3 linked regions of the Arabidopsis thaliana genome follow. The protein of the gene in region 3 interacts with the protein of the main gene of each other region in a pairwise test. Each region holds a gene or a part of one and is shown on either strand. Other genes may lie near its edges.

Region 1 (5,658 bases), on a different chromosome or scaffold from region 3:
ATCCTTCTTTGTATATATTTAAATGAATCAACTAAAATACATAGAAATAAAAAATTTCTCTATACTATTATTTTCAGTTGATCCATTCAAATCATTTTCTAAAAACTTATGTCACGTTCATGTATACTTTTAGTTAAAGAATGTTTTTTTTTTTTTGGATTGGAAAAAAAAAAAGCTCAAACCTTTTAAGAAAATAAAGCTCATGAAAAGAGCGTGACGGGTCCAACTCTTTTTTTTGGTTAAATTTGCAATTTAAACAGATTACTTGTTCATGTTGACATTGAAATAGCAGGTCGAGAGCGAGAGATCAAAATGCAATGTATTATGCCCTTAATTTATGCTTTTATATATTTTGTTTATTAATGTCACATATCTTATTATGGATATACTTTGCAACGGATCACAAATCTTACCCTGAAATATGCAACCTGTTACCGGAATTGAAATTTCATAACACACTATTCTCAGCTCTTCAAGATTCAGTGTTTCATTCGTGAAGACGAATGCATGTTGTTCTAGTCTCGATACGAGAAACTGCGTTTATGAAAATAAGAAAAAGAAGAATAAATTAGCATGGGCTTGATTTACACCCGTCCGTCACCGAAATGGGCTACAAATAAATCATGGGCTTTTAATATTCTAACTTAGAAGAAATTTGGCCCATTGCTTAAACACGAGGCACAAACCATATATTTTTTTTGAGCCAAAAAAAAAAGTCTTGATATTTTAGCATTTTGTCCTTTTTGGAGACAGTGGTGTCAGATAGCTGACAACCTATATAAATAAATAAATAAAATAGAGTTTTCTTTTACTCTTACTTTCTTTATTAGTTTCATAATAATATGTGTAAAAGTAAGAGTTGGATATTTTTCGTTTTAATTTCTGCCTTCGAATTAGTTACGCATACAAAGCATAAGAGACAAGAGACATAGCGTACCAAAAAAGAAGAAAATAGTGCAAAAATATCATATAGTTTTCTGGTACGCCTCATCAATTCCACCCCCGTACACCATAATTATATAGAATTTCAATATCGAAATGTCGACAGCAACAAAATTCAACATGTCGAATAATATTGTTTTAAATATTCCATTTTACTAGAAGATGAAAAAAAGAGAGAAGAAAGTAACCTTTTGTCTTTGTCACCTTGACTTAAACAGTAATACAAACCCCACAAGTAAATTATTCAAGTTCAAATCGTAGTTAATGTTTATATTTGAGAATTGCAAATGGTTTAAACGAAAACCAAACTACGAATTACAAATTTGAAGAGGACTTGTACTAGAAAATAAATAGAGAAAAGAAGAATAATAAATAGTAACAGAAAATGGGAAAGATGATGATTCGTGTGGACCAAGTCTCTCCTCCCCTTTAGCTTGCCTTATTGGTAAAGTATCCTCCTGCAAGCAAACGTATCTGTCACTCCTTTTTTATTTTCTTTCACCTTCTATCTTATTCTCATTAATTCTTCTTTTTTGGTCAACTTCATGTATAGAAAATAATACCAAAATTTTTTGATATAGTAAAACTATTAGAACTGAATTTCAAACAAAAATAATACAAATTTAAGCAAAAAAATATTAAAAATAAATTTTAAAGAATATTTTTACATATAATAAATATACATAGTTGATACTTTTATATAATTATTAATTTATGATATTAATGAGACCATATATTTACATAGAACATTCAAAATAATTATTATCTTATTAATCTATCGATATATATCACTTTTTATACTAGTTTTTGGAATCTTAATAATTTATTAATTTGTAGAAGTTATTAATTTATAGAGGTTTTACTGTACATGTCAGCATTTAACTTTTGATAAGCACAAAACCATTACATATTTTCCAACCAGATTATTTTCTATTTATCCTAGCGTTTGTAAATCTTTGAACTACAATAATTTATCAAATACAATATAAGATTTTTATACTAAAGATGTATACAATGCATTTAACATTAAAGGAAACAAATAAACTCTAATCTTTTAAAAAAATACTTTACCTTTTAAAAAGAGTTATTAATCACATAAGCAATATTTAATTTTTCATTATTTTTTTCATCATCTGTCTAACATATTACTTTTTAAAAAATATTTATCGTTGGATACTTACTTTTCAGACCACACACTAGGACTAGTGGTTCCTTTATTTTACTGCATAGAACGACAACAAAAAGCTAAGCAGTAACATTTTTTAGGGTTTTATTACTGCAACACTCAAAAATGAGAAATTATTATTAAAATTGAAAATGAAAAATAGTAATCGCAATCCGAAATTACTTTTTTTCTAGCCTTCTAGGAACTCGAAAAGAAAGCAAATTTCTTGCAATTGAAGGTACCTGCTTCTCTTTTTCTGGTTTGTCTGGTTTCATATTAAAAAAAACATTTTGACAACTATATTTCTGGTTTGTCTGAAAAAATTGAGAAGAAAACCTAGAAACAAATACGGTCTTTTTTTTTTCTTTTTATGGGTCGCGAATCTCTGGCTGTTGTGTCCTCGCCGCCATCGGCGACTGCGCCCAGTACTGCTGTGTCGGCTACCTCGCTTGCTCCTGGCTTTCGATTTCATCCGACTGATGAGGAACTCGTGAGCTATTACTTGAAGAGGAAGGTTCTGGGTAAACCTGTACGCTTCGATGCGATTGGAGAGGTAGATATCTACAAGCATGAGCCCTGGGATTTAGCAGGTTCGTTAGGTTTCTTCTTCTTCATTTCTGCTTATCTCTATGATTTGGGGGTTTCTGTGAATTTGATGCTTCTGATTTGGGATTTTTGTCGCCTGGGCTTATTGGTTGTTCCGTCTTCTGGCTCAATTCTGGGAAATGAGTTTAGCTTTTACGTGCTCCGATTCGTTTTCTGGGAAATTTTTTGTTGCAGAGAAGATTCTCTGTTCGTACCTGGCGCTAAGTTTAGGCAATTAGGCTTTAACACTGTGAAGACATTCCATCCAATTGACTTCTTAACTGAAGAAAGTCGAATTTTCTTCAGATTGCTTTAAGAATTTCGTGTTTGCTTGTGCTACAGTTATGTTTGCTTGTGCTACAGTTATGTTTGCTTGTGGATCAGGAAATGAAGTTTGTTGCTTGTGTGTTTGGCTATCTGAAGTGTTCTCAAGTATGATCTGAAAGAAAAAAAACCTTGTGATGTGTTGTGTGTTTCAGTGTTTTCGAAGTTGAAAACTCGGGACCAAGAATGGTACTTCTTCAGTGCGTTAGATAAGAAGTACGGTAATGGTGCTAGGATGAATCGAGCAACTAACAAAGGGTACTGGAAAGCAACTGGAAAAGACAGAGAAATCCGCCGGGATATTCAGTTGCTCGGTATGAAAAAGACGCTTGTTTTCCACAGCGGGCGTGCTCCAGACGGCCTTCGGACTAATTGGGTCATGCACGAGTATCGCCTTGTGGAATATGAAACTGAAACTAACGGAAGCCTGCTGGTATTATGTTGTCCAAAAGAGTTACTTTTGAATTGGGGTTATCTCATTTTGTAAGAATCCTATCTTATCTTACTTCTTTGTCTGGGTGCAGCAGGATGCATATGTGTTGTGCAGAGTGTTTCACAAGAATAACATTGGGCCACCAAGTGGGAACAGATATGCGCCATTCATGGAAGAAGAATGGGCTGATGGTGGAGGAGCTCTGATTCCAGGAATAGACGTTAGGGTCAGGGTAGAGGCTCTACCACAAGCCAATGGAAACAACCAGATGGACCAGGTTTGTACTTTCTTTATACTCAAATGTTTCTTATATGCATAACCTCTGTGATACATCCCTCTAATGTGAATCATCTCTCTTGATTCACAAGATATTATATTTCTTATTGCAAAAGCTCTTTGCTTCTCTAAGTGCTGTTTCAGTGGGCTGATTTACTTAAACTGCACAATTCCATTAAGTTTGCTATCACCTTTTGTAGAACTCAGCTCAACCTTACAGCTTTATCTAATGAAAGGTCTCTCTTGATTCACAAGATATCTAATTTTTCTTTATGGTCCTTTTTCTTTGAGATTTATCCTTTGATTACATGATATTTCAGACTTACAATCTTCGTTTGGCATTAAAGGTGCTCAACAAGAGAAATATTTATTGTGTTTTGGTTAATCTGCAAAGTCGATCAACGCGTTTTGGTTTGAGATATTTTATGTCTGTTGGGGTTCACATAACTTGTAATTTGTTGTAGGAAATGCATTCAGCAAGCAAGGATCTCATTAACATCAACGAGCTACCGAGAGATGCTACTCCAATGGACATCGAACCTAACCAACAGAATCATCATGAGAGTGCCTTCAAGCCACAGGAGAGTAACAACCATAGTGGTTATGAAGAAGATGAGGACACACTCAAACGCGAGCACGCAGAAGAAGATGAGCGTCCTCCTTCTCTATGCATTCTCAACAAAGAAGCTCCACTACCTCTCCTGCAATACAAACGTAGACGCCAAAACGAGTCCAACAACAACTCAAGCAGGAACACACAGGACCATTGTTCGTCCACAATAACAACCGTCGACAATACAACCACCTTAATCTCATCATCTGCTGCTGCTGCTACCAACACTGCCATCTCTGCATTGCTTGAGTTCTCACTTATGGGTATCTCCGACAAGAAAGAAAACCAGCAGAAAGAGGAAACTTCTCCTCCTAGTCCAATTGCATCTCCTGAAGAGAAGGTTAATGATCTCCAGAAGGAGGTTCACCAGATGTCTGTTGAAAGAGAAACTTTCAAGCTTGAGATGATGAGTGCAGAGGCTATGATCAGCATTCTCCAGTCAAGAATCGATGCGCTGCGTCAGGAGAACGAGGAACTTAAGAAGAAGAACGCCAGTGGACAAGCTAGTTAAACCACCGCAACATCTCTCCAGGTGTCTTCTTCTTCTTCTTCTTCTTCTTTGCCTCTTAGCTGTAATCTTCTTAATAGTATGAGCTATGGATGTAGCTTCTTCAGACGGATCAGAAACCTTATGAATCTCTGTTGTAAAATTAGGATAAAACGGAACGGAGCCAACCAACTAGGTCTTTTTATTTTATCCTTTTTTACTTTGGATGTTTCTGCATCTTTTGGGAACATTTTCAGGCTGATCCATTGTCGTATATTATCATCTATCTATCTAGTCTTTTCAGACAAGAACTCGCTTTTGTTTGGTTTCCTCTCAAGAAATGTTCAGTCTCCATAAAGAAAGCTTTTTCCTTGGGGTAATCATTAGTGGTCAGATATGAGGGCATAATCGTCATTGTCATTTGAAATGACCTTCTGGTCTTCCGGACAAGAACCACTCTGTTGCTTGATGTTTCTGTGTGACTGTCTCCACAGTCCACAGGGAAGAGAGCTTCTTAGGTAAAGTCGTGATTAGTGGAAATGATTGAGGGTATAATCGTCATTGACTAATTCAGCGTTACGATTTAGGAATGTGGTTCCGTCAACGACGTTAGAAGACTTTTGTTACACGTAATTTGCAATTATTTGTTTTTTCTCTAAAAGCGAAAAGCGCTTGGTACGATTCAAGCCTGGATTCCATCTCTCTCCCATTAAGTTTTCAAGAAGAAGTTTTGATCACAGACGTATTTTCGAAATGGTTTCATATCTTACTAGGCAATGGAATTTCGTAGGTGTTATAGAGTTTGGTGTTTATATTTTACTTTTAACTACATC
Region 2 (6,590 bases), on a different chromosome or scaffold from region 3:
TTTGTAGAACTCAGCTCAACCTTACAGCTTTATCTAATGAAAGGTCTCTCTTGATTCACAAGATATCTAATTTTTCTTTATGGTCCTTTTTCTTTGAGATTTATCCTTTGATTACATGATATTTCAGACTTACAATCTTCGTTTGGCATTAAAGGTGCTCAACAAGAGAAATATTTATTGTGTTTTGGTTAATCTGCAAAGTCGATCAACGCGTTTTGGTTTGAGATATTTTATGTCTGTTGGGGTTCACATAACTTGTAATTTGTTGTAGGAAATGCATTCAGCAAGCAAGGATCTCATTAACATCAACGAGCTACCGAGAGATGCTACTCCAATGGACATCGAACCTAACCAACAGAATCATCATGAGAGTGCCTTCAAGCCACAGGAGAGTAACAACCATAGTGGTTATGAAGAAGATGAGGACACACTCAAACGCGAGCACGCAGAAGAAGATGAGCGTCCTCCTTCTCTATGCATTCTCAACAAAGAAGCTCCACTACCTCTCCTGCAATACAAACGTAGACGCCAAAACGAGTCCAACAACAACTCAAGCAGGAACACACAGGACCATTGTTCGTCCACAATAACAACCGTCGACAATACAACCACCTTAATCTCATCATCTGCTGCTGCTGCTACCAACACTGCCATCTCTGCATTGCTTGAGTTCTCACTTATGGGTATCTCCGACAAGAAAGAAAACCAGCAGAAAGAGGAAACTTCTCCTCCTAGTCCAATTGCATCTCCTGAAGAGAAGGTTAATGATCTCCAGAAGGAGGTTCACCAGATGTCTGTTGAAAGAGAAACTTTCAAGCTTGAGATGATGAGTGCAGAGGCTATGATCAGCATTCTCCAGTCAAGAATCGATGCGCTGCGTCAGGAGAACGAGGAACTTAAGAAGAAGAACGCCAGTGGACAAGCTAGTTAAACCACCGCAACATCTCTCCAGGTGTCTTCTTCTTCTTCTTCTTCTTCTTTGCCTCTTAGCTGTAATCTTCTTAATAGTATGAGCTATGGATGTAGCTTCTTCAGACGGATCAGAAACCTTATGAATCTCTGTTGTAAAATTAGGATAAAACGGAACGGAGCCAACCAACTAGGTCTTTTTATTTTATCCTTTTTTACTTTGGATGTTTCTGCATCTTTTGGGAACATTTTCAGGCTGATCCATTGTCGTATATTATCATCTATCTATCTAGTCTTTTCAGACAAGAACTCGCTTTTGTTTGGTTTCCTCTCAAGAAATGTTCAGTCTCCATAAAGAAAGCTTTTTCCTTGGGGTAATCATTAGTGGTCAGATATGAGGGCATAATCGTCATTGTCATTTGAAATGACCTTCTGGTCTTCCGGACAAGAACCACTCTGTTGCTTGATGTTTCTGTGTGACTGTCTCCACAGTCCACAGGGAAGAGAGCTTCTTAGGTAAAGTCGTGATTAGTGGAAATGATTGAGGGTATAATCGTCATTGACTAATTCAGCGTTACGATTTAGGAATGTGGTTCCGTCAACGACGTTAGAAGACTTTTGTTACACGTAATTTGCAATTATTTGTTTTTTCTCTAAAAGCGAAAAGCGCTTGGTACGATTCAAGCCTGGATTCCATCTCTCTCCCATTAAGTTTTCAAGAAGAAGTTTTGATCACAGACGTATTTTCGAAATGGTTTCATATCTTACTAGGCAATGGAATTTCGTAGGTGTTATAGAGTTTGGTGTTTATATTTTACTTTTAACTACATCGTCCTATTATACGGAACCTGTCTTTTTTTTTTCCACACGGAACCCTGAATGATTGTACTTTTTGGTAGGTTTGTTCTTTATTCGAGAGTTGTAAAAAAACATTATTTACTTTTAAGATGACTACGAAAGTGTAATTTACTAAATTACTTTTCATTATTTACTCCCAAGTATAATTTACTACAAAAAGCTACGCAGTAAAATTTTGCTAGGGTTTATTACTGCGACATAATGAAATGTAAATCGAAAATTGGTATCGCAATCCAAAATACTTTTTTGTTGCTCTCTACTAGCCTGCCTTTCTGGGAACGCGAAAAGAAAGACAAAATTTTCTTGCAATTGAAGGTACCTCAAATCTTGTGCTTATCTCTTTGGTTTCTTCTTCGTCAAACCATCTGCCCAACTTGTGTTTTTGTTCTTCAGGTGAGGTTTGGTGAAAGGGAAATTGAGAAAACCCTAGAACAAGTACGGTCTCTATTTTGCTTTAATGGGTCGCGAATCTGTGGCTGTTGTGACTGCGCCGCCCTCGGCGACTGCTCCGGGTACTGCTTCGGTGGCGACCTCGCTTGCTCCTGGCTTCCGATTTCATCCGACTGATGAGGAACTCGTGAGCTATTACTTGAAGAGGAAGGTTCTGGGCCAACCTGTACGCTTCGATGCGATTGGAGAGGTCGATATATACAAGCATGAGCCCTGGGATTTAGCAGGTTCGCTGGGTTTCACTTCCACTCTCTCTTGGTTTCTGTGCATCTCTTCCATTTGGGGGTTTTCTGTGAATTTGTTGCTTCTGATTTGGGATTTTTGTGGTCTGGGCTTCTCTCGCTTCTTCTGACTCAATTCTTGGAAAAAAGGTTTTACCTTTTTAGGTTCCGATTCATTTTTCTGGGAAATTTTGTTGCAGATTCTCTGTTGTTACATTTTGCTATGTTTAGGCTATAACACCGTGAAGGTAGTATTTCATCTAATCGACTTCTTAAGTGGTTCAAATATTCGTTTTTTCCAGATTCCGTTAGAATTTTATGCTTACTTGTGCTATAGTTTTGTTTGCTTGTGGTTCAGGAAATGTAAAAAGTTTGAAGTTTTGAGTTAAGTCTGGTTTTAAGTAATTTCTTAGTTGTGTTGTGTGTTTAAGTGTTTTCGAGATTGAAGACAAGGGACCAAGAATGGTACTTCTACAGTGCATTAGATAAGAAGTATGGAAACGGTGCTAGGATGAACCGAGCAACTAACAGAGGGTACTGGAAAGCTACTGGAAAAGACAGAGAAATCCGCCGTGACATTCTGCTTCTCGGTATGAAAAAGACACTTGTTTTCCACAGTGGGCGTGCACCAGACGGGCTTCGGACTAATTGGGTTATGCATGAGTATCGCCTTGTGGAATATGAAACCGAGAAAAACGGAAACCTGGTGGTACTGTATTGTCCAAATTACTTTCGAATTTGGTTTATCTGATAATTTCCAAAAGATCTCAATTCTTTGTTTGGGTGCAGCAAGATGCATATGTGTTGTGTAGAGTCTTCCACAAGAATAACATTGGGCCACCAAGTGGGAACAGATATGCTCCGTTCATGGAAGAGGAATGGGCTGATGATGAAGGAGCTCTGATTCCAGGAATAGACGTTAAGCTCAGGCTAGAGCCGCCGCCAGTAGCCAATGGAAACGACCAGATGGACCAGGTTTGTGATTTCTTCTTACTCTGGCTTCATTACCCAAACCTTATTAGTTTCATTCAATATTTCTTGTATGCAAAAAACTCTGTTGAAATACTCTCTTTCTTAGTTTTCCATTGGGCTGAGTGAGTTTATTTAACTGCATTAGTCTATTTATGAACCAATCTACTATTTCAACGTTATTTAGTGCAAATGTACAAATTTATCTGATGCATCATTTCTCTTGTTTCACAAGATATTATATTTATTATCTGCAAAACTCTGTGTTGAAGTGAAGCTTCTCCTAATAACTGTTTCAGCGGGCTGTGACGCTAGTAACTCCATTTAGTCTGTAACCAACTCTTGTAGAAATCAACCTTATAGGTTTATCTGATGAATCAACTCTCTTGATTTAGAAGATATCTGAATTTTCGGTGGTCTTTTTTTTTTTTGTTTCTTGGGCTTTATTCTTAATCATACTGATTACAAGATCGTTCAAACTTTGCATCCTCATTTGACCAGCAATTTTACTGTGCATCATATGAACTCACTTAATTGATCAGTAAATGTTGACCAGAAGTAGAATGATTTGTTGTTTTAGTGAAAATGCAGTTTTAATCCTTCATCAGCAAAATTGATTGAAGCATTTGGTTTCAGATAATTTATGCGTCGTCTGGGGTTCACTTGTAATTTGTTGTAGGAAATCCAGTCAGCCAGCAAGAGTCTCATCAACATCAATGAGCCACCGAGAGAGACAGCTCCACTGGATATCGAATCGGACCAACAGAATCATCATGAGAATGACCTCAAGCCGGAGGAGCATAACAACAATAATAATTATGATGAAAACGAGGAAACACTCAAACGCGAGCAGATGGAAGAAGAGGAGCGTCCTCCTCGACCTGTATGCGTTCTCAACAAAGAAGCTCCATTACCTCTTCTGCAATACAAACGTAGACGCCAAAGCGAGTCCAACAACAACTCAAGCAGGAACACACAGGACCATTGTTCGTCCACAACAACAACTGTCGACAATACAACCACTTTAATCTCATCATCTGCCGCTGCCACCAACACTGCCATCTCTGCATTGCTTGAGTTCTCACTCATGGGTATCTCCGACAAGAAAGAAAAGCCGCAGCAACCGCTACGTCCTCACAAGGAACCTTTGCCTCCTCAAACTCCACTTGCATCTCCTGAAGAGAAGGTTAATGATCTCCAGAAGGAGATTCACCAGATGTCTGTTGAAAGAGAAACTTTCAAGCTTGAAATGATGAGTGCAGAAGCTATGATCAGTATTCTCCAGTCAAGGATCGATGCGCTGCGTCAGGAGAACGAGGAACTCAAGAAGAACAATGCTAATGGACAATAAAGGCTCTAAAAACATCTCTCCAGGTTACTTCTTATTGCCCTTCGCCTTTTATTTAGCTTTAATCTCCCTAATACTATGACCCATCTACATAGCTCCTCTAGACAGATTGCGAACTGTGTGAATCTCTGTTGTAACATAGGATAAAACGGATTCGAGCCCCTGAGCTGAGTGTTTTATCCTTCTTCTTTTTTTGTGTGGATGTTCTTGCATCTTTTGAGAACATTTTTTAGGTTGCTCCATTGTCATATATCATCTATCTATCTAGTCTTTTCAGACAAAAACTATCTTTAAGTTGTCTCGAGAATGTTGTCTTCATAACACACTGAGCCTTCTCTGGGGTAGTAGTGGTTAGGTACGAGGGCATAATTGTCATTTCCTTTGCATTATCATTTAGATTTCCAGACAAGAAGAACTTTCTTTGTTTAAAATAATTGGGAATTATGTTCGGTCTCCGGTAATACCGTGGTTAATGGTAAGGATATTTTCGGCTAGGATTACGAATGTGGATGCGTCAGCGACGTTAGAAGACTTTCGTTACACGTAATTTGCAATAATTTTAAAAAAGCGAAAAAGTGTTTGGTACGATTTTTTCAACTTCAAATATATTCTCTATTTATTTACTCTATTCAAACAAAATTGCATATAGTATAGAATTTTAGTCATCTTGATATTTATTGAAGTGGATAAATCTTCATTTGCGCGAACCAACCAACTACCTCAACAAATTCTAGAGACTTTAAAATTGATGACTAGTGCAAGACTTCCACGTGTCAGTTTAATAAAGACTGTCACCCGAAAACAGTCACAGCCAGTCACATGATATGCTCTCGCGGCACACTTTCCTGGAATATTAAAACCTCACGGCGTGAAACTTCTTTCGCACATTTTCTAGCTACGGTCGCTTAGCTCCGATTGGTTCGTCGTCACCATCACTCGTCTTCAACGATTTGCTTCTTTTTTTTTTCTCTCTATTTAGTCCCATTTTCCTCAATTTCTAAACCCCTTATTTCGAAATCATTGTTTTGCTCTTTCTTTTGATTCGAATTCGACAGAACAGCTCTTTTAAGTTATTCATAAACCTTGTGTTTGAGTTTTGGTCCATCGAGTATATGGGTCGTGGCTCAGTAACATCGCTCGCTCCTGGGTTTCGTTTTCATCCCACAGACGAAGAACTCGTTCGTTACTATCTGAAACGAAAGATCTGCAATAAACCTTTTAAGTTCGATGCTATCTCTGTTACCGATGTATACAAATCTGAGCCTTGGGATCTCCCAGGTCAGTTCTTCAATATGTTGATGATTTGATCGATATTGTATAGGAACCGATGATAGAATTTGAATTCTGTTTTGTATTTTGGTGGGAAATAGACAAGTCGAGGCTGAAAAGTAGAGACTTGGAGTGGTACTTCTTCAGTATGCTTGATAAGAAGTATAGAAATGGATCAAAGACGAATCGTGCGACTGAGATGGGATATTGGAAGACTACAGGGAAAGATCGAGAGATTCTTAATGGTTCAAAAGTCGTTGGGATGAAGAAGACTCTTGTTTATCACAAAGGTCGAGCTCCTCGTGGCGAAAGAACCAATTGGGTTATGCATGAGTATCGGTTGGTTGATCAAGACCTTGATAAAACTGGTGTTCACCAAGTAAGACTTTGATCTTTTTGAGTTCCTTGTTGTTTAATGGGATTTGTGTTGTTGACTTTGTTGTGGAATTGTGGGAAGGATGCGTTTGTGCTTTGTAGGATTTTTCAGAAGAGTGGCTCCGGACCTAAAAATGGAGAGCAGTACGGTGCTCCGTTTGTTGAGGAGGAGTGGGAGGAGGAGGATGATA
Region 3 (8,379 bases):
TTATGAATTTGTAATAGTTCTGTATATTCTTATGGAACTGGTACTTACTCTGTTCATCGATTTTTCATTTTACCAACAGTCAACACCACCCTCTCAGACCCAAACCGTTGTTGTAGAAAACCCCATGTCCGTTGATGAAAGCGGAAAGTTGGTGAGTATTTCTATCACCTGTGTTCTTCTTCTTATTTACCACATTAGAGGAAGATATGACAAAGTGACTGAAACACACAAATTGCAGGTGAGCAATGTTGTTGTTGGAGTGACAACTGACAAAAAGTAATCAAGAATGAGTGAGATCTTAAAGATCAAATCCAAATTCTTCCTCTATTCCTGCGTTTGGTTTGTGCATATTACATACGCGGAAAAACTGTATGTTATATATCTCTTGACTCCTTTTTAACCCAAGAGAAAAAGCTTATCAGAATCTCTTGTTACTGCATTATTGGGGTTTATTCAAAGTTGAAGACACAAGGTTTTTGCTCGAATAATTTGGCATTCTTTTGCTCCATGGAACTTGACCTTCTCTTCTGTTTGTTGACTTCTAAAACTCCATCGGCCCTTGTGGCATTGTTAATGTATGTATGAATATAATCTGATACACCAACCAATCATTAAGATTTGGGTTTGAAATCTGTCTCTTCCGTGGATGAGATATGCTACATGTCACAAGAACTGGTCTTAGCTTTGGTAGATAAGACTTGTCTTAGAGCAAGTCTTGAAATCTGGAAATCTATTTTGCAGTAATCTTGTCACAACAACCATAACCTAATCAGTCAGTACCCTCCAAGAACATTAAAGTTAGATGATCCGACAAAACCTCTCAACAAGACCAAACTCTTTCCATATAAATACTCTTTAACACTGACACAAAGTTTCATCACTTTCTCTTGATCACTCACTGCATCAACAATGGCCAGAGAGAAGATTGTGGTGGCTGGTGGTACCACAAAGAGCTGGAAACTACTCTTGGGGCTGAGAATATTTGCATTCATGGCTACTTTAGCTGCAGCCATTGTAATGTCACTAAACAAAGAGACAAAGACCTTGGTTGTGGCCACCATTGGTACTGTTCCTATTAAAGCCACTTTAACCGCTAAGTTTCAGCACACACCGGCTTTTGTGTAAGCGAGTAAAACCCTATACGAAATCGATTCGATACATATTGAAAGCAAAATGTTTTTGAGTTATTAACATTGATTCTTGGTTTTACAGGTTCTTTGTTATAGCTAATGTAATGGTGAGCTTCCACAACTTGTTGATGATTGTGGTTCAGATTTTCAGCCGGAAACTGGAGTACAAAGGTCTTCGTCTCCTCTCTATCGCCATTCTTGACATGGTATAAACATTGGTTTTCAAATCAATTTACTGGTTTGATTTCAATTGAATTAGTTTGAACGTTTGGAAAAAAAGCTAAACGGTTTCTTGATAATCTAAAAAAACGTTGGAAAAAAAGCTAAACGCAACACTAGTATCTGCGGCTGCAAACGCGGCGGTGTTCGTGGCAGAGCTAGGGAAGAACGGAAACAAGCACGCCAAGTGGAACAAAGTCTGCGACAGGTTCACCACTTACTGTGATCACGGCGCAGGAGCAATCATCGCAGCATTCGCCGGAGTCATTCTAATGCTCCTCGTGTCCGCCGTCTCTATTTCCCGCCTCTTAATCAATTCTAAAAACTTCTCCACCACCGCCACCACAACCTCCGTCGTCTAAAACATCGTGGCCAAAAATTCAGCAACATGTGTGTGACCATTTTATAGATGTTGTGGCTTACTTTGTGTGTTTGTCTCTCAAGTCACTAGCAAATTGTGTAATGCACTCCTTTGTTCTATCACTTTCACATTTGTATTCAAGTTTTCATTTCTCTCTTATCTTTTTATATAATTCTAAAATGACAAAAAAAAATTCACAAAGTATATAGTACATTGAAACAATGAGAAAAATCTACAATAGATGATTAGATAAGACCAATTCAAGATAATTTATACCTTTTATTTCTCAACTACTTCTTCTATTTATGGAAATATAATTCTAATCAATTGTTAGTTTTTTACATTAAAATGAATTATATCAACCGACTAAAAAACAAATCAGTATTAGTTCTATCGCATTGTAGTTCCCATACAACTTAATTTTTGTGTTGTAAATAATGATCCTACTGTCTCTAATAAATGTGAATCAATAATCATAACTATTGAAATCCTTTTCTTTTTGGTTAGTAAAAATGAAGTGTAAATAGTATAACTGTTTAATTTAGTTCAGATATACAAATCAACAAAACTACTTAATTTGAAGATTAATTCAGTTTTTTTTTTTTTTTAATTTTCTGTTTATAAAACTACTGAATTTTATTTGGTATAAATGGATTGAAGATTTTATTACAAAACAAAATCACATTTGGCGGCTTCTTCTTTTTATGTTCTAAACCCTTTTCTTAGATCGGACTCCAAGAAATCTACTTGCTTTAATCGTTAACCTAATAAATTCTTCTCTAAGTTTTTTTTTTCTTAACTCATCAAAGAAGGAAAGAAAAAAAAAAACCTCTTTCACAGATATTTAACCAAAAGGTTTTAGATTTATACTATACGTTACAAATAAAATTCGAGAGTCAAATTCAATCTTGGGAAAAGCTTTTGTTCCGAATCTTGGCCCCTTCACGAAGGTACACTTATCATCTCACTCTCTATTTCCAGACACAAATCTATATGCGTTCTGGGTTTTTTTAGGGTTTCGAAAACGGCACTGCATTTCATCAAGTAAGGGTTTGTTTTTTATTTAACAGATCTTTGTTCTTCCTTAGGTCACGGGTTAAAAGTATCGATCTTTGTGAACTTAATCTCACTGTAAATGGATCAGCTTGCATCTCTAGCAGAGTCTGTGGCTATGGAGGTTTCTCATCTTTATCCTTTTGCTTCTTTGATTTGTGTTTTTTGCTTTCTCCTCCATTTGTAACCTCTAATTTGCATGTTTGCTAGATTCAATTAGCACTGTTGCAGTTTCTGAATGTGGAATTGTGTTTATTTCTTGCAGGAAGATTCTGAGAAACAATCGATTAAAGGAGAGAGTAGTCTTGAACCTGACTCTACTCCTTCTAGTCCTAAAGTAAGTTAATTGGGTTTCTAGCAAAGTATTGGTTGGGTAAAGAGGTTGATGGCTTATCTATGTGCTAAACCCGTTTGAGTCTGAAAATCCAATCAATTCTAGTTTTAATTAAGTTCGTGGCTTTTGCTTATCAGTATCTTCCTTCAAAGATCTCATCTTTCTGAGAGTCGTTCTTATTGTATTTGTTTTAGATTAAGCAAAATCTATTTACTTGGGTCTTAAGAATTTAGCAATCTCATCTGGATCTTATTAGATTGTTTGTTGTGTTAGCTATCTGATTGTCCAAGAGCAGATGAATCTGATTCATGAATGATATCGTTTTGTTGCGTATTTGAAGATAACTGCTAGGTGGAATCCATCAGAAGCTTGCAGGCCTTTGGTTGATGACGCTCCCATCTTTTATCCCACTAATGAGGTATTTAAAATACTCGAGTTGCAATTTTGGTTCTGTCTTGGTAGTTAAATTGTTATCTTATCTGAAAATTTTGATCCTTATGATACTGCTTCATGGTCAGGATTTTGATGATCCACTTGGTTACATAGAGAAGTTGCGCTCTAAAGCAGAATCATATGGCATATGTCGAATTGTGCCGCCTGTTGCATGGAGGCCCCCTTGCCCTCTGAAGGAGAAAAAAATATGGGAGAATTCTAAATTTCCCACCCGGATTCAGTTCATTGACTTGCTTCAAAACCGAGAACCGATTAAAAAATCTACTAAAACCAAGAAGAGAAAACGGAGAAGAATCTCTAAAATTGGATACACAAGAAGAAAAAGAGATTCAGGCTGTGATACGGCTTCCTCTGGCTCTAGTGATAGTGAAGGAAAATTTGGTTTTCAGACTGGGCCAGATTTTACCCTGGAAGAATTTCAGAAGTATGATGAATACTTTAAGGAATGCTATTTTCAGTCAGAGGATCATCCTGGTTCCAAAGCGTCTGAAAATAAGAAATTTAAACCTAAGGTTAAGGACCTTGAAGGTGAATATTGGCGGATAGTGGAGCAGGCAACTGATGAAGTAGAGGTATGTACATGCAGCAATATAATGACATATCAACTATTTGTGTCTTTCTTGGTTTCACCATTTTCTTTTGCATTTATTTGAATTTGATGTTCTTCGAACTTGCTACTCTTGTTTTTGGTCCTATGACAGGTGTACTATGGAGCTGACTTGGAAACAAAGAAATTTGGAAGTGGTTTCCCAAAGTATAAACCGGGGTATCCTATAAGTGAAGCAGATCAATACTCTCAATGTGGTTGGAACCTAAATAATTTGTCCCGTCTGCCCGGATCAGTTCTAGCTTTTGAGAGCTGCGATATCTCAGGAGTCATTGTGCCATGGCTTTATGTTGGAATGTGCTTTTCAACTTTTTGTTGGGTAAGTTTCATTTTCTTAGGGTAGACTCTTGCTAATTACTGAATCGCATGAATAATCTTTTGATATTTCCTGGAAATTATATGTTGCTGAAAAAAAGCTGATGGAGTTCTATTAAAACCTGTTATTGAATCAAAATTTTATTACTTAAAGGATGTCATGCCTTTGGGACCAAAGTTATGGAATTGATGCATTTTTTGTGTGCTTTCTAGGAGCTATGTACTAACCATCTGCTATTTACCCCCTTACTTTGTTTGAAACAGCATGTTGAAGATCATCACCTTTATTCCATGAACTACTTACACACAGGTGATCCAAAAGTTTGGTATGGGATCCCTGGAAACCATGCTGAGTCTTTTGAAAATGTAATGAAAAAGCGTCTTCCAGATTTGTTTGAAGAACAGCCTGACTTGCTACATCAACTGGTGAAAGTTTCTCCCAATTCGTTTTTCATTTCAAGCTCTGCTGATTAATTAGAACTCCTTACGTGTGTAATTTTGGAGATGATATGGCGAGAGCTGTCTTTTGGTTAAGATAATATGTATCTCACTCTGCACCTCCTATTGTTATCAGGTCACTCAGTTATCTCCAAGAATCTTAAAAGAGGAGGGAGTACCTGTCTATCGAGCTGTCCAGCGCAGTGGAGAATTCATTCTAACCTTCCCTAAGGCCTATCATTCTGGGTTTAATTGTGGTTTCAACTGTGCGGAAGCAGTAAATGTTGCACCAGTTGATTGGCTGGTTCATGGACAGAATGCAGTGGAAGGCTATAGCAAGCAGCGGCGAAAGAGTTCATTGTCACATGACAAGCTGCTTCTTGGAGCTGCTATGGAAGCTACTTATTGCCTCTGGGAGCTTTCACTTTCAAAGAAGAAGACTCCTGTGATTGCGAGATGGAAAAGGGTTTGTAGTGAGGATGGATTGCTTACGAAGGCAGTCAAGGTAATTTTGGTTCTCTGTTCTTTTTTCTGTGTGCATGCATGTACAATACACACTCAAAAAAGCATAGGCTATATGTTACATTTCATAGATTGACAACTATCCTCTGAAGTAATAGTGTACTAGTCTACCTGATTTTTGATAAGATTGAAACAAACATCTTCAATGGCACTAACATAGCTGTGGTTAGCAGAAGCGTGTGCAGATGGAAGAAGAAAGACTAAATCACCTTCAAGATGGTTTTAGCTTGCGAAAGATGGAGGGTGATTTCGACAATAAGAGAGAACGGGAGTGCTTCTTGTGCTTCTATGATTTGCATATGTCTGCTTCAAGCTGCAAGTGTTCCCCCAACCGGTTTGCATGTCTTATCCACGCTAAGGATCTGTGTTCATGTGAAAGTAAGGATAGATATATCCTAATTCGCCACACCTTGGATGAGTTATGGGCACTGGTCAGAGCTCTAGAAGGGGATCTTGATGCCATAGACCTATGGGCAAGTAAATGTCGTGACCAGTATCCTTCACAGCATCCAAGAGCAAGAGAATATGCTTACCTCAAGTCTGCCCCATGTATAAAGAGCCGTGGTTCATCAAAAGTACAGCAGCGAGAACAAAACAATCTTCAGTTAGTGTCTGAACGCTTACAAAGTGATCTAACCTCAAACAAGGAAGTTCAGTTGAAACAAGATGGTGATTCAGATGTAAATCGCCATGGTCATGAAAGCGAAAGAAATCATGTACATGGGATCACTGATAAGTCAGCTGTCACGGATGTAAAACTTGGTGTGGGAGGTAAGTTTGATGAGAAGAAGATTTCGGTTGAATCTCAAAACCCACATTCAGTTTCAGATGTAGGGTGTAGCGAGCTGGCGAAGAAAGTGGATGGTTGTTTAGGAGGGAAGGACCAAAATGCTGCAACCAATAGGTTAAGTCTCTCTGTTGAGCTTTTGAGTTCTGGATCTCTCGTTGTTAAAAAGCTGTGGTGCAGTAAACAGGCCATATACCCAAAAGGTGATGAATTGAGAATTTTGGATGAGCTTTATACTTTAGTATTTTATTTTTTATGTCTTCTGAGACTTTTGCTTTTGATTGTATGTTACAGGGTTCAAGAGCCGTGTTAAGTTCTTAAGTGTGCTTGACCCAACAAACCTAACCAACTACATCTCAGAGGTTCTGGATGCAGGGCTTCTTGGTCCATTGTTCAGGGTACACTAACTACGTAGTGGTTTCGAGAATATAACTGAATATCTATTTATCATGCAGAACACATGAAGGTGGTAAGTTACTGATCAATCAGTATTATTTCCAGGTCTCAGTAGAAGATTACCCCACTGAGAATTTCTCGAATGTATCTGCTGAAAAGTGCTGGCAAATGGTGACACAAAGGCTCAAACTCGAAATCATCAAGAAATGTGATCAACCAGTTAGCTCTTTGACCTCTTTACAACCTTTGGAGAGTATAAATGGGCTTGAAATGTTTGGATTTCTCTCCCCGCACGTAATTAAGGTGACAATCAATTTCTCATGCATAGCCATAAAACTATGATATCCTGAATCTTCTTGCGGTGGAAAGTTTTTTTTTTTTTTTTTTTCTTCTACTTTGCTGGATGAGAGAAGCTCCCATCTTCTGTTTCAGTCCCCTTGAGCATCTCTCTTACTCGCCTACATGACCAAATTTCCATATGTACTTTTTAGCGTTTTGGACTGAAAGTTGACCATTGTGCACAGGTGGTTGAGGCTCTTGATCCAAAGCATCAATTGGAGGAGTATTGGAACCAAAAAGCAGTGAAACTGTTTGGTGCTGAACCAATAAAGGAAGGAGAAAAGGATGATACAGAGAAAGGAGGGGCTTCAGATCCCTCTTTGGACCGGGACACAAGGCTTCTGCGTGGACTGTTGAAGAAGGCGACACCTGAAGAATTAGTAATGATGCATGGACTTCTGTGTGGTGAGACTCGCAACACCGAGCTCAAGGAAGAGCTCTCTACTTTGGTTGATAAGATGGAGATAAGTCCTTAAGGAGGAGCAAGCAGATAAACACACTAACACCCTTTGAAGTTGATTGTGTTTGTTGTTCCTTTGGTTATAAACTGTATCAGTAGAGAAATCTAGAGAGGCAATACAAAAGTAGACAAAAGGGTTACTTCGTTGACATGTCTTTCCTTTTTACCAAAAAAGGGTTTAGGATTAATGATTGTATTATACTGTGTTGCATTTGCAATGTACCATTGTTCTCTATATTTCATTTGCTTATTTGTAACAGCTTTTATGATTAGTAGACGATTTCAAACAACAACCAGATCCAAAATTGAACCAACCTGTATGAGCTGTTGTAACAAGATAAAATAACATACTTTAGAGTTTTAGCTGCTCGTGTTTTAAGAAAAATACATGCATAAATTCGAATTTAGAGCCTATATAATCAATCTTTCCCACAGTACTTGGGACAAACGATAATATGTTTTTTTTGAATCTTTGGACTGAAAAGAAGCCAAGTGTAAATATGAATATGTACAAAGAGGAGAAACTTTAAGTGAGATCATCCTCGTCTAGATCGTCATTAGTGTTCATCTGAATTGCAGTAACATCTCCAGTGGGTAGCTTCCTAGCCAACTTGATAATCTGCAGACAAAATACTTATCCGTATAAGATTCCAGTAGTTTAATGAAACATTCTGTGATCATATGGTGTCACAATAACCAGCATAATGCAGAACAAATACATTCGGAAACACAGAAAGACATAATTAGGATTAGGATTCGACAGATCATTTAAGTGAATTACCATATGATCCAAATTCGAGACAGTGCTTGCACTCGCCACCTTCTTGATTTCTTCAATGTCACCTTCATTATAGGCGGTGAGAAGTCTACTAGCACTTCGGCTCTGATCACTCTTCAGAAAGGCATCAATCCTAACCATGAGAAGAAAAATATTCAGACACTAATTTGGTATCACAATTCCTAAA

What was found.
Region 1: the proteins of JMJ14 (region 3) and NAC050 interact in binary tests that used the Arabidopsis thaliana proteins (3 or more experiments, as listed by UniProt).
Region 2: the proteins of JMJ14 (region 3) and NAC052 interact in a two-hybrid assay, tested with the Arabidopsis thaliana proteins (one study listed by BioGRID).

Annotation. Positions count from the first base shown.
Region 1 is NC_003074.8:3,261,933-3,267,590, forward strand, and holds NAC050 (NAC domain containing protein 50), read left to right. Parts: upstream 1-2,415; 5' UTR 2,416-2,477; coding exon 2,478-2,697; intron 2,698-2,887; coding exon 2,888-2,917; intron 2,918-2,998; coding exon 2,999-3,067; intron 3,068-3,171; coding exon 3,172-3,449; intron 3,450-3,540; coding exon 3,541-3,726; intron 3,727-3,869; coding exon 3,870-3,961; intron 3,962-4,072; coding exon 4,073-4,118; intron 4,119-4,189; coding exon 4,190-4,849; 3' UTR 4,850-5,158; downstream 5,159-5,658. UniProt on the Arabidopsis thaliana protein: Transcriptional repressor that binds to the motif 5'-(C/T)A(C/A)G-3' in the promoter of target genes. Also binds to the 5'-CTTGNNNNNCAAG-3' consensus sequence in chromatin.
Region 2 is NC_003074.8:3,265,851-3,272,440, forward strand, and holds NAC052 (NAC domain containing protein 52), read left to right. Parts: upstream 1-1,974; 5' UTR 1,975-2,082; intron 2,083-2,160; 5' UTR 2,161-2,224; coding exon 2,225-2,444; exon of another isoform or gene 2,445-2,869; coding exon 2,870-3,147; intron 3,148-3,227; coding exon 3,228-3,413; intron 3,414-4,043; coding exon of another isoform or gene 4,044-4,076; exon of another isoform or gene 4,077-4,086; coding exon 4,087-4,758; 3' UTR 4,759-5,352; downstream 5,353-6,590. Other genes in the region: NAC050 (NAC domain containing protein 50), read left to right, coding at 1-43, 155-200, 272-931; NAC053 (NAC domain containing protein 53), read left to right, coding at 5,868-6,033, 6,126-6,403, 6,482-6,590. UniProt on the Arabidopsis thaliana protein: Transcriptional repressor that binds to the motif 5'-(C/T)A(C/A)G-3' in the promoter of target genes. Also binds to the 5'-CTTGNNNNNCAAG-3' consensus sequence in chromatin.
Region 3 is NC_003075.7:11,006,159-11,014,537, forward strand, and holds JMJ14 (JUMONJI 14), read left to right. Parts: upstream 1-2,399; 5' UTR 2,400-2,660; intron 2,661-2,798; 5' UTR 2,799-2,845; coding exon 2,846-2,887; intron 2,888-3,028; coding exon 3,029-3,100; intron 3,101-3,437; coding exon 3,438-3,515; intron 3,516-3,534; exon of another isoform or gene 3,535-3,594; coding exon of another isoform or gene 3,595-3,615; coding exon 3,616-4,122; intron 4,123-4,251; coding exon 4,252-4,476; intron 4,477-4,736; coding exon 4,737-4,898; intron 4,899-5,046; coding exon 5,047-5,415; intron 5,416-5,605; coding exon 5,606-6,422; intron 6,423-6,513; coding exon 6,514-6,617; intron 6,618-6,720; coding exon 6,721-6,918; intron 6,919-7,139; coding exon 7,140-7,430; 3' UTR 7,431-7,684; downstream 7,685-8,379. Other genes in the region: LSD1 zinc finger family protein, read left to right, coding at 80-151, 239-280; AT4G20390 (Uncharacterized protein family (UPF0497)), read left to right, coding at 910-1,121, 1,213-1,336, 1,454-1,711; GSNAP (gamma-soluble NSF attachment protein), read right to left, coding at 7,941-8,033, 8,196-8,325. UniProt on the Arabidopsis thaliana protein: Transcriptional repressor. Histone demethylase that demethylates 'Lys-4' (H3K4me) of histone H3 with a higher activity for H3K4me3 and H3K4me2 than H3K4me1. No activity on H3K9me3/2, H3K36me3/2 and H3K27me3/2.